2 linked regions of the Drosophila melanogaster genome follow. The protein of the gene in region 2 interacts with the protein of the main gene of each other region in a biochemical or structural test. Each region holds a gene or a part of one and is shown on either strand. Other genes may lie near its edges.

The links.
Region 1: the proteins of dpr17 (region 2) and DIP-gamma form a complex in vitro, tested with the Drosophila melanogaster proteins (one study listed by BioGRID).

The regions. Positions count from the first base shown.
Region 1 is NT_033777.3:28,967,268-28,972,341, forward strand, and holds the start of DIP-gamma (Dpr-interacting protein gamma), read right to left. Parts: upstream 3,106-5,074; 5' UTR 2,064-3,105; intron 1-2,063.
Region 2 is NT_033777.3:12,092,817-12,098,070, forward strand, and holds the start of dpr17 (defective proboscis extension response 17), read left to right. Parts: upstream 1-2,059; 5' UTR 2,060-2,484; intron 2,485-2,813; exon of another isoform or gene 2,814-3,232; 5' UTR 3,233-3,860; coding exon 3,861-4,200; intron 4,201-5,254.

The sequences.
Region 1 (5,074 bases), about 17 Mb from region 2:
AATACTAATCAATTAAAATAACTTATCAAAACTGAAGCGAGTAAAGAAACCCCCCCCCCCTACATAGCATTCCCATCGCGGACTAACAATCAGCTAATCTGTCTTACATATTTCCATATCGCCTCGGCTTCAGCATGGATTACGATGGTTATTCATTAGACGCATTCCTGGACGCCCTTGGCCAACAACTGGGACGCTTGCTGCGGTTTGCCGCAGGACTTTCGTCCTTCTTCTTGCTACCCCTGCCCCAGACAACTCAACTATTACCTCTCTCTTTCTGAGCCATAACTAGGCAAACCTTTTTTGCTCAGTGTGTGTGCGGAACGGCAGAGGAAAAACAAACGTCCGACTGCCGGGAAAATCTGTATAAGTGTGTGTGTGTGTGTGTGTGTGAAGTAAAAAAGCGCAACCGGAGAGGAGACGGATGGACAGCAGGAGGAAGAGAGAGGGGCGTTGGGCGATGGCAGGGCTGGAAGCGGAAAGCCGGAGAGTAAGAAAAACCATAACTAAATCCATTGCCATAGGAAAATCCAAAGCAAAGTCTGCGATGCAAATAGTAGAGATTATGGGACTGCAGATGTATGAAGAACGAGATGGAGCTGAATGTGAAACCCAAGGCGCGGCTGAGAAGGACCCAAAAGGGATCCAGGGAGGACGGAGGACGAAGGTCCCCGGCAGAAGGTGTTATGTGTACGTGTGTACGAGTGTATGAGGCACAATAAATCTTGCAAGGGTGCCGAATGGCCGGGCAAGGGGCCGGAGGCCTCAGGTCCTGAGTCCTGGATCCTGAATCCTGGGCATTGGCATGGATCTGAGACGGGACTTTGGCCTCCATTCTCTACGTCCCTGCTCCTCCTGGGCAGACCCACTGCCACCCAGTGCGCGCACGCCCCGTCAGTGAAAACCAAAACCAAATAAAACTGACATTATGCGAAAAGCGAAAGCCATAACTAAAAGTTGGATAACGTGGCCATGATGGAGCCGAAGTGGAGTGGGCAAGAAATCCGGAGCTGAAACAGCCGTAAAGTTGATACTAAACCAAAGAGCAGAGCTGGCAAAGCTAAAACAAATCGGAGATGCTATTGTCACGAGCTCTGGACGCGCAGGTGCCCTCATTTTAGTGATAGTGTGTAAAATAAATTATAGAAAATTATTGAAAAAATACTACTACTACAGAGTTACCAAACTAGTAAAGCAACCAACGATTTTTTCCGAAATCGGGTCAAGAATTAAAACTATTCCTTGCAATTTACATCAAATGCTAACAAGACTTTCTGGAAATGACTAGTAGTTTTATTTGGCAGTGTCATTAAACTGAGTTTTTCAGCTGTGCGAAAGTTCTTGTCTTCAGGTCTTAAAATATCGTTAAATTTTAATTTTTAAAGCAAACTTCTTTTGCCTAACTAAAATTGTTATAAGATATAGTTGGATTTAAACATTGGTGCCATTTTTATTTTGCAATTTTCAATTAATTGGTACTTAATTAGTACTCCAAGTACCTTATGAATATTACATTTTGCAATTGCTTAAAAAAATGTTAAAAGCATTTCCCGACCATTCGAAATGACATTAGGATATCATTCTAATTGCTGCCCCGGATAAACTTGATTCACTCCAACAGGTTTCAATTTGAACATCCTAGAAGCTCCTTATTGGATCATTAAATCAAGAGCGACTGAGCTGACCTAAAAAACTGAGAGGGCTTAAATGCTGCTAAGCGAACTGAGTTTGTTCCTTAATCGCCATCAGGACCAGCCAGAACCTCCCAGGACCACCCAAAAGGTAAATCCACGGCCCTGAGCTCGCGAATCCAAGCCACCTCGGGAGTGCACCACAATGGATTTGCCACAGCCCAACTCCATGGCACGAGCTGAATATTCTCCGATTTTACCCTTTCTGGGCGCTGGGCGCAAAATGTTGGTGGGGATACAGATATCGGGTATGAAAAACAGAAACAGGAAAATAGAAATGATAGCAAAGTTGCAAAGCGATGCGGTGCGGGCGGGCGGTCTGAAGGGGTTGCTGAAACGGAAATCGACTTTGGTAAGGAGTTTTTCTCGTACCTGTGAATCGGAATCTGAACGCTGGAGCTGCACCGAAGTTATGCAAATGTAAAGTTGTTCGTGCCTGCTCCTGGCTGCTGAATCCTGCCGCAGGATCTGGCACCTCCTTCTGCTCCTGCCGCTGCTCCAACTCCCGCTGTCAATCGAAGGCGATGTCGCGAGTGCTAATGACGTTTGCTTTGATTGCGCCCCGCATGCGAATCCAAATCTGAGCCACAACTCACAACTGTCATTTTCGCAAGGATACTCGCATATGTACGTATGTGCGATGAGTATGTAGAATAGGATGGGTTCTTGAGTGTCTATCTCAGCTGGTACTCGCAGCTCAGCTCAGCTCCTCACCGGAACTCTATTTATTTAATTTGCATGCAATTTTCAATTTTTATGCGGAATACTTGGCATTGACAGCAAACGATGCGCACATTTCGCATCGGCAATGCACAATAGAAATTGAATTGCAAAAATTTGTTTGCCCGTCCAGGGCAGCAGGCAAATGGATTGCGAACACAGTGGAATAGCGGATTTTGAGGGCTCTTCACGTCTTCACGCCAATGTCACAAGGAGCCGCATTCAAGGAGCCAGCGCGAGAGCTGAACGAGTCGAAGAAATCGCACAATTTGGCGGCGAAGATGTCAAGTATACGCCGCGTTGCCAGTGCCACACTGACTGCAATTACAATGGTGGCCAACAACAAAGACGGTATGCCGGTACGCCACACACACAGACACACAGAGGCATACACGGGCACATACGACACACGGAGTTGAAGCCACAAATACGTACGCTCCGCTCCGCAGGATCCGGAGGAGAAGTCTGAGGCGAAGACAGGCGACAGATCCTGGTATTGCCCCGTCGACAGTGTGCGAAATAAATGCACGCGCACACACACGTTCACGAAAAAATCCCGCGAAATTTGGCGACAAAAACCAAAACAAAACAACAACTTCGTGCGCTTGGGATCACGATGAATGTTCGATGCGAAATGCACAAATGCAGCTGCTCTCCACCACCGAACGCTCCGAAACTGAATTCGCAACTGAGCCAGCATGAAAAAGGATGCTGCCATCTGGAGCCGAAACGGCTGGACGCACGAAGGATGCCGACGAGCGGCACGATGACGCGGATGCTTCGGATGCTGGCTCGCAGAGCTTTTTTGGCGAGAGAGCGAGAGGAACTGGCATTGGCGACGTGTGACTTCGTTAAATTTCTGCGGCGACAGCACACAAAACGGATTCGGAAGCGGAAGTAGCAAGTAAGCGAGCAAGGAGCGCTCTGTGGCCATGTCTGGGTGTGTGTGTGTGTGTGTGTGTGGGTGTGCCTCTGTGTGTGTGTGTGGATGGGCGCGCTGAGTGGGTGGAGTGGCGCTGAAGTGGGCGAAGTAGCGCCAAGTGGCTGGCTAAAGTCGACTCGCGGAGCACGACCAGAATGGAAGTTTTGTGTTTGTGTTTTGCAATGCCAACTAAACACACATTCAGCTCCATACACACACACATATGTATGTCTATACATATATTATAAGTCAAACATACCTACGCCGTGGCATCAATATTCACATTCGCACTTGTGCGAGTATTTTCTGATTTGCTGCAATCGCGTTTGCCAACAACGAACTTGGCTAACAACAACAGCTGCCGGAGTCACAGTCGCAATCGTAGTGGGGTATTTTCCAGCGGATGTTTGGTAAATCTTTGGCGCCGGATACCAGCGCTGTCTTCCCCGGAGTCGCAATCCCGCCCCCTTAGATCACCACCCCTCGCGGGACACGCTTATACTCTTTTCATATCTTTCTTGCTCTTACACATGAAGGAACTTTGAAAAAACAATGTAAAAGTATACAAATTTATATGAAAACCTTTATTTAAAATTTTTTACTAAAAAAGGCATTTCATTTATTATCTCATATGCAAGGTATTTCAGTTTAAATATTACATTCATTTTATTTGAAAATATTCTTTTAATAATAGCGTTCATCATTATTCCTATAAAAAAAATTGTATTTTGTAAAAACTTGGACATTTTGCTCAGTGTACTAGCTTACACCCAGGGGTATGTATGTGTTGGTATCGATAACTAATAAAAGCATTACATTTATGTTAGAGTCAAGCGCCGTGGCCCCTTATTTTCCCCCCACTTCTGTTTCGTCCTGAGCAATAATTCAGTTTCCATTTCTCTGTTTTCTTCAGTTTCTCATTTTCATTTTGCAGCCAGTGCATGTGTGCCTCGGCACTCCTCTCACCCTCTCCGTTTTCCCAACACTTTTGCCACAGTCATGGCCAACTAATTGGAAACAGTAGCCAGCTGCGCTTTCTTGGCCCATTTTGTTGCTGCAGCGGCTTGGAGAGCTGGATCCTGGTGTCTCGTTTAGTTGCCAATTGCTTAGTTGATTTTCATTGTCTGCCCTTTGGGCCACACTCACAGGTGGCTAACAGGGCGATGGTATGGGTGGAAAATGTAGGGGTTTTTCCGCTGTATTGGCTTGTAAGTGAAACGATAAACGCTGTAGCTCGCTGTCATTAATTGGCTGCCGGTTGATGTTTATGTCGTTAGCTCTTCGTTACTGCAAAGAGGGAAAAGCGGATGGGACGTTTAATAATCTCATCGCATTCAGCTGGGTTTTCACTGATTTTCCTGATCTTCTTCAGCCGCTTTTAGCTTGATATTCAATTAACTTTTGCAGGACAAATCTAGGCGGGATCTGTTAGGGACAGCCAGGCAGAATGTTAATTAATAACGTTTATGCTCGTATCTGAGTATCTGTGTATCTGGGCATCTGGGTATCTGGTTACTGCACACTGGTTACTGGGGTATCTGGCTGATCTGGTGCTGTGCTAATGCTTAGGCCGGGCCAAAAGAACTATTCTCCATTTCCTCGCCTCAAACGGCTTCCGTCTGATCCTGAGAGCCATGTCTTCGTCTGCAGCCGTTCGTCCTTCGAGCTGTTTTTGTCAGGCTGCTGCTTCTGTTGCTGCTGCTGCGTTCACCTGCCAGCGAGGGCGAAAAGAAAATATCCG
Region 2 (5,254 bases):
TTTGCTTAAATTTAGCCCAGATGCGATTGCCTCCAACAAAAAATATTAATTTATTTACGACCTTTATAAAAAGTGCTAAAATTAACAGCTGAGCAATGTTTAGCTAATACAAAGCCATCAACTTTCTGTTTGAGGTCTTTGGGAAGAGCAATTCCGACGGACCATCAAAAATGTACTGAATAATTAATATTTATTTAAAGTTTTTGATAAATTTAGCCTTGTTAAGGGCCCAAAATATTTTTTTTGTTATAAAAAAGCAATTGTTGCTAGAATCTATGTTTTAAATAAGATTTACAGTTTCTTAATGGATAGAAATGGAAAATTATATGTGCCAGAAGTCGCTTGTGTAATATTATATATTTTTAAGAGTACTATGCAGTCGCTTTACTGCATACTACAATTTTGATCTTTTGTTTTATTTCACAACTCGATTGATGGGCTTTTAGCAGCTTTTGGTTTTTGTTGCCTGGCTTTTGGCTTCGATAACTGGCGCAACTGTTCACTGTTTTCACTGGCTCAAAGGCGACATAAAGTATATTTTGATTATTTTGTGAGCCAGAAGTTGAGCATTTTAAGGCCCGCCGGCATTTGCATTTCAAATATACTTTTACGACAGCCAGCCAGCCCCTTAGCCTTTGGCCCGCATCCCGCCCGACACCTTCCGCCGCAGGATCTTTTGCTGCGGGCGAGACGAGGTGAGCCACATGGAAGTGGAAGTGAGTGAAATACCACAAATGGCGTGTAAACACAACAAAGAGGTAATAACAATGGATGCCAACGAGGTCCCTGACTTCAAGGACCAATGGAAGGGCGGCAAAAGTAGCCGAGGGGAACTCGTCCGCATTCCTGGAGCCTTTGGGAGGAGTTCTTTACGCAGCGCAGGGGGGGATGGGGGGATGGACTTTGGCACCAAGCGCACCCGCACTTTCGAAAACATTTTTATTTGTTTCTCCGTAAGCTGTGTCAATACACAATAAATTGAACTGAGCAGGAATTTATGTTGGTCCTGTGTGAGGATATTCAGCACCCTATCTGCCCGCTGGCTCTGTTATCGCACTGGGGCGTCAATTGCCTGTAGGCCACCGCCCCCTGGGGACTTAAAAGTTCAATAATATTTATTTGTTACTTGCTCTTTGACAACAAAGCACACGAGATTATACTTAGTCCTAGGCCGTCGTTCATCAAGCCGCGCATATTGGCCCACTCCATTCTACATAATGGCATATTGTCGCACAATACCCGAGACCACAGATATGTCTTCGCCGGGGCAGTAAATTCCGGCCACTAAAGGCGATGATTTTTCAACAGACACCGAGCTAATTTAGTGACCGAATGCCAACGCGGTCACCACCGTGATTTACGGGGTCACCATTTGCACGACTCCAATTATTTGTTGGTTGCCTCGTGACTTTAACCTTAGAGAAAAGTGCTGAAGAACGGATGAGTATATTTCAGCTTAGATTAATGTCAAAATAAAGCTAACACTCGGTTTAAGAGGGAATAGAAATTAACTGCTTAAAATATATATTATATTTTAGGTCGGTTACAAACTGCTAACTCTTAAACTCTTTCATTTTAAAATTGAATAGCTACGAGATTTATATATTCCATGTATCAATCTTTATACCATTTTTAAGAGGCGTCAATTCATATTTTACATCATGGTCGATTTTTGGTGGCGTCGAGCGAACCAATTGATATTCATGTGCGACTAAAATAGGCATTTGTCCGGCGGAAACAAGTGTTTTGTTGGTCATCTACAAATGGCATCCGCGGAATAAAAAATAAATCTTCAATCTTCTGTTGCCAAAGCAGTATTAGCGCGCAGGCGCGAACAAACAGCCGGCAAATAACCCGACGGTTCGATTCCGAAAATTCAGTGCAACCAGAGGGATGTGAACGGCACAAAGCTGGGGAAGTTGGAAACGAACCGGTATGCCACATGAAACAGAGGAGAATCCGATGTGGAACGCTCGACGGAATGGCTATGAATCGGCACTATCCGCCTCGGAATGTTAAGAACTCGATGGGAAGTGGGATGGCGTCGCTCGAACGCGACTCAGTCGAAAATTTGAATCCGGTTCGCGCGGACGTGACTCGGATGGTGGAAGGAAACCCAGACCGCAAACGAAACCGCAACCAGAAGTCAATTTTACGCGTTTATGTCTGAAAGGGACTTGTGCTGAAGAGGCGGGAGTTAGGAAAACAAAATGTGACAACAGAAACGAAGAAAAAAGTTAATGGAAAGTGGCAAAGAAAGAAAAGAAGAATTAAGACAAAGTTAAACCACTTGATGTCCTCTTGGGTGTCCTGTGTCCCGTGTCCTGCAGTGCCGCCTGTCGAGTGTCTTTTGCCGAAATCACTTTTAAAATTTGTTTGCTCCCGCCTTATGCAAATGGATATTAGAATGCCGCGCTGAATTGCGAAGCCGAGGAACAAAAACAGGACCGAAGAAAACAGAGGATTTCTCCAAGGACGCGTAACGTAAAAAAGGGATTATTGTGCATCATTTTGGGCAGCAAGAATAATGCCAAGGAGGGCGAAATAAAAAATATTCTCAAGTCGGATTATGCGATAAATTGTTACTGAAGTGTAAATGTTTTCTCACGTGTTAAATCATTAAATATAAGCCACCCAAGCTGCACACAATTCGTTTAGAGCCCGGCCATATGGCCATTGTTACCTTTTGCCACCGACCTAAAACTCAAAGAAAGCCCATCGAAAGGCAATGTGAAACTTGTTAAACACTATAAATGGTCGAAGTTTTTAAGGTTTTTTTTTGTGCGAAAAGTTTTGGCCATTAGTCATCGAGAACATTGTGTGATAGTTCTGCATGAAAGCCGTGCAAGTTATTAACTTTTAAGAAAGTGAGCCGGGAACCAAGAAAAAGGAAATTCTATGTAATTAATTGCAAAACGATTATGAAAGTTTAAGTGGAAATAAGTTGATTTATATTTCTTGGCAAGTTCGAGCACTTGACTTTTCCATTGATTGAGCTGTTGAAGTAAAACTTCAAGATGTAGAAATATGTTTTCAAAAGTTTTGTTACCATGCAGAAGTGTTAACTCTGTTCAGATTAGTTTTTAAAGAAATACCATTTTTAATGGTAAGGTTATATTTTATTCTTGTTTTAAATACGTATTTTTCTTCACGTGCTTTTAATACTCAATTATATGGTATCCCAAAACCACTTTTACAATCACAATAAAATCGTATGCAAACAACATTTTAGGTAAATGTAGTTATTAGGGATTAAACGGATTTGTGCTGTTCAACAAAATAAGTTTTGGAAGAGACCAAAAAGCTAAATAAACAAATTGGATTACCATGGAATAAAGTCGAGTTCCGATGCCAGTTTATTTGTCTATGCTGGTGCCACTGCATCGCCAATAAAAGTTTGCCACTCAACAAAGGCGAAAACACTTAAATAAATATATAAATCAAGCAACACAAAAATTGTGCAAAACCAAGTGCAGAGACCGAGTAAGCCAACAATGGGTTTGCACGAAAATCGCTTGAGAAAACGCATCGAAAAACTTGTGGCCGACCCATAAAGAAGAATTGCAATTTTTTGTCGAAAGCTAGAAATAAAATCAAATGAAATAAAATAAAATAAAATGAAACAGTATAGAGGTTAGATAGAACCCAAATGGAGGCAAGCCAGGACCCAAGCCAGCCCCAAGTGTATTAATTCAATAAACCTATTTATCTGAGACTTCGACTGGGATTTCGAGAACGGAGCAGAGAATGCGACAAAGTTTGCCAGCCAAGACGGCGCAGTGCAATCAGCAGATCCTGTCTGTCCTGGTCCTGGCCCTCGCCCTGGTCTTGGTCCTAAGGAGCACGAGAAGCCAGATTCGATGCCGCAAACGAGTCCCAATTGGAGGCAGGCGGACAATGAGCGCACAAAAGGCGCTGTAAGTGTCATTGCAGCCAGGAACTGGGCCACTGGGACTGCCACGCAGGACTGGAGCCAGAAGAGCAGCAGTAGCTGGAGCAGCACCAGTCGAAGAACCGGAATCAGCAGAACCAGGACCAGGCCAGCCACGTTGACAACCGAGATGACAGTGGCAGGACGAGCAGAACGAGCAGGAGTAGGAGCGCCGTGGTGTCGCCGATTTTTCCATACATCCCCACTAGCGTCTTGGCTACGCATCAGCTTCGTCCTTTTGGTCCTTCCAGCTCTCGGCTTTGGGATACGTAAGTACAGCTGGGGGGTTTCCCTCACTCCTTGCGTGTGCGTGTGACTTTCATACATTTTTGATTTAATTTAACGCATTCACGTCGCACACTCTAACACACAGTTAACTGGGGATGGAGTCCTATGAACGGGTGGAATACACTTTAGGATTTGATATTCCCTAGTGTTAAACCAGATCCCTCTCTTTGCAAAGGTATCAAATCAGGAAAATGCAGTTTTTACATTTCTTCCTAAATGCACTTTTGTATTTAAACCTTAAATCATGCCTCGTAAAACTAGGAAAACAGCGACATCCTTTCAGTGCATTATGTTCTCCTGTTGTTCTGCCAGATTAACAGGATAAGTATCTCCAACTCCTCGTTTCCTTATTTATTCGGGTACCGGGTGAAAAATCTTATGCGCACTTGGCAACACACACATGGATAATTGTCCTCGTAAGCGGATCCCAAGACGCGAAATAGCTGCTGGCAAATTGTTTTAGTAGTTCTGGATCAGCTGGGGGAGTGGAGGCAAGGAAATTGTCGTTCTTTGAAATTGCGGAGGATGAAACTGGGGGCTGAGCTTCCCGTTGTTTCATTTGATTTGCCGAAATTAGATTAGAAGAAGCCACGGGGCTAGCGAAATGGGAAAACAATGGCCCATAAAAGATGACAAAAAGTTGTGCGGCATTGCGGAGCGATTCCTTATATAGGGGTTCTTCTGGTAATTCTATTTAATAAATAATTTAATTCGAATTTTCCACGTAATTAAGATAACTTCCTTGTGCACAGTGACTAGTTAATATAATTTATTCTGACCCGTAATAAGCACTTGAAGATGAAATATTGAGAAATATGCTAATTATATCGATAGATAGTGTCATTTTTATTCAAGCTAGATATATGTACTTGAAAAAATTGATAACTTAAGATCATGAATGCTTTTAAATTTCCAATCGGCTTTTCATTTTGTATTACAATCTTGCCTTGTTTGAAATTTATTTTACTCTACCAAACTTTCACAAGTAAGCAAGTGATTCAATGCCATTATTAGTATTTATTCCTTAAACAGAAT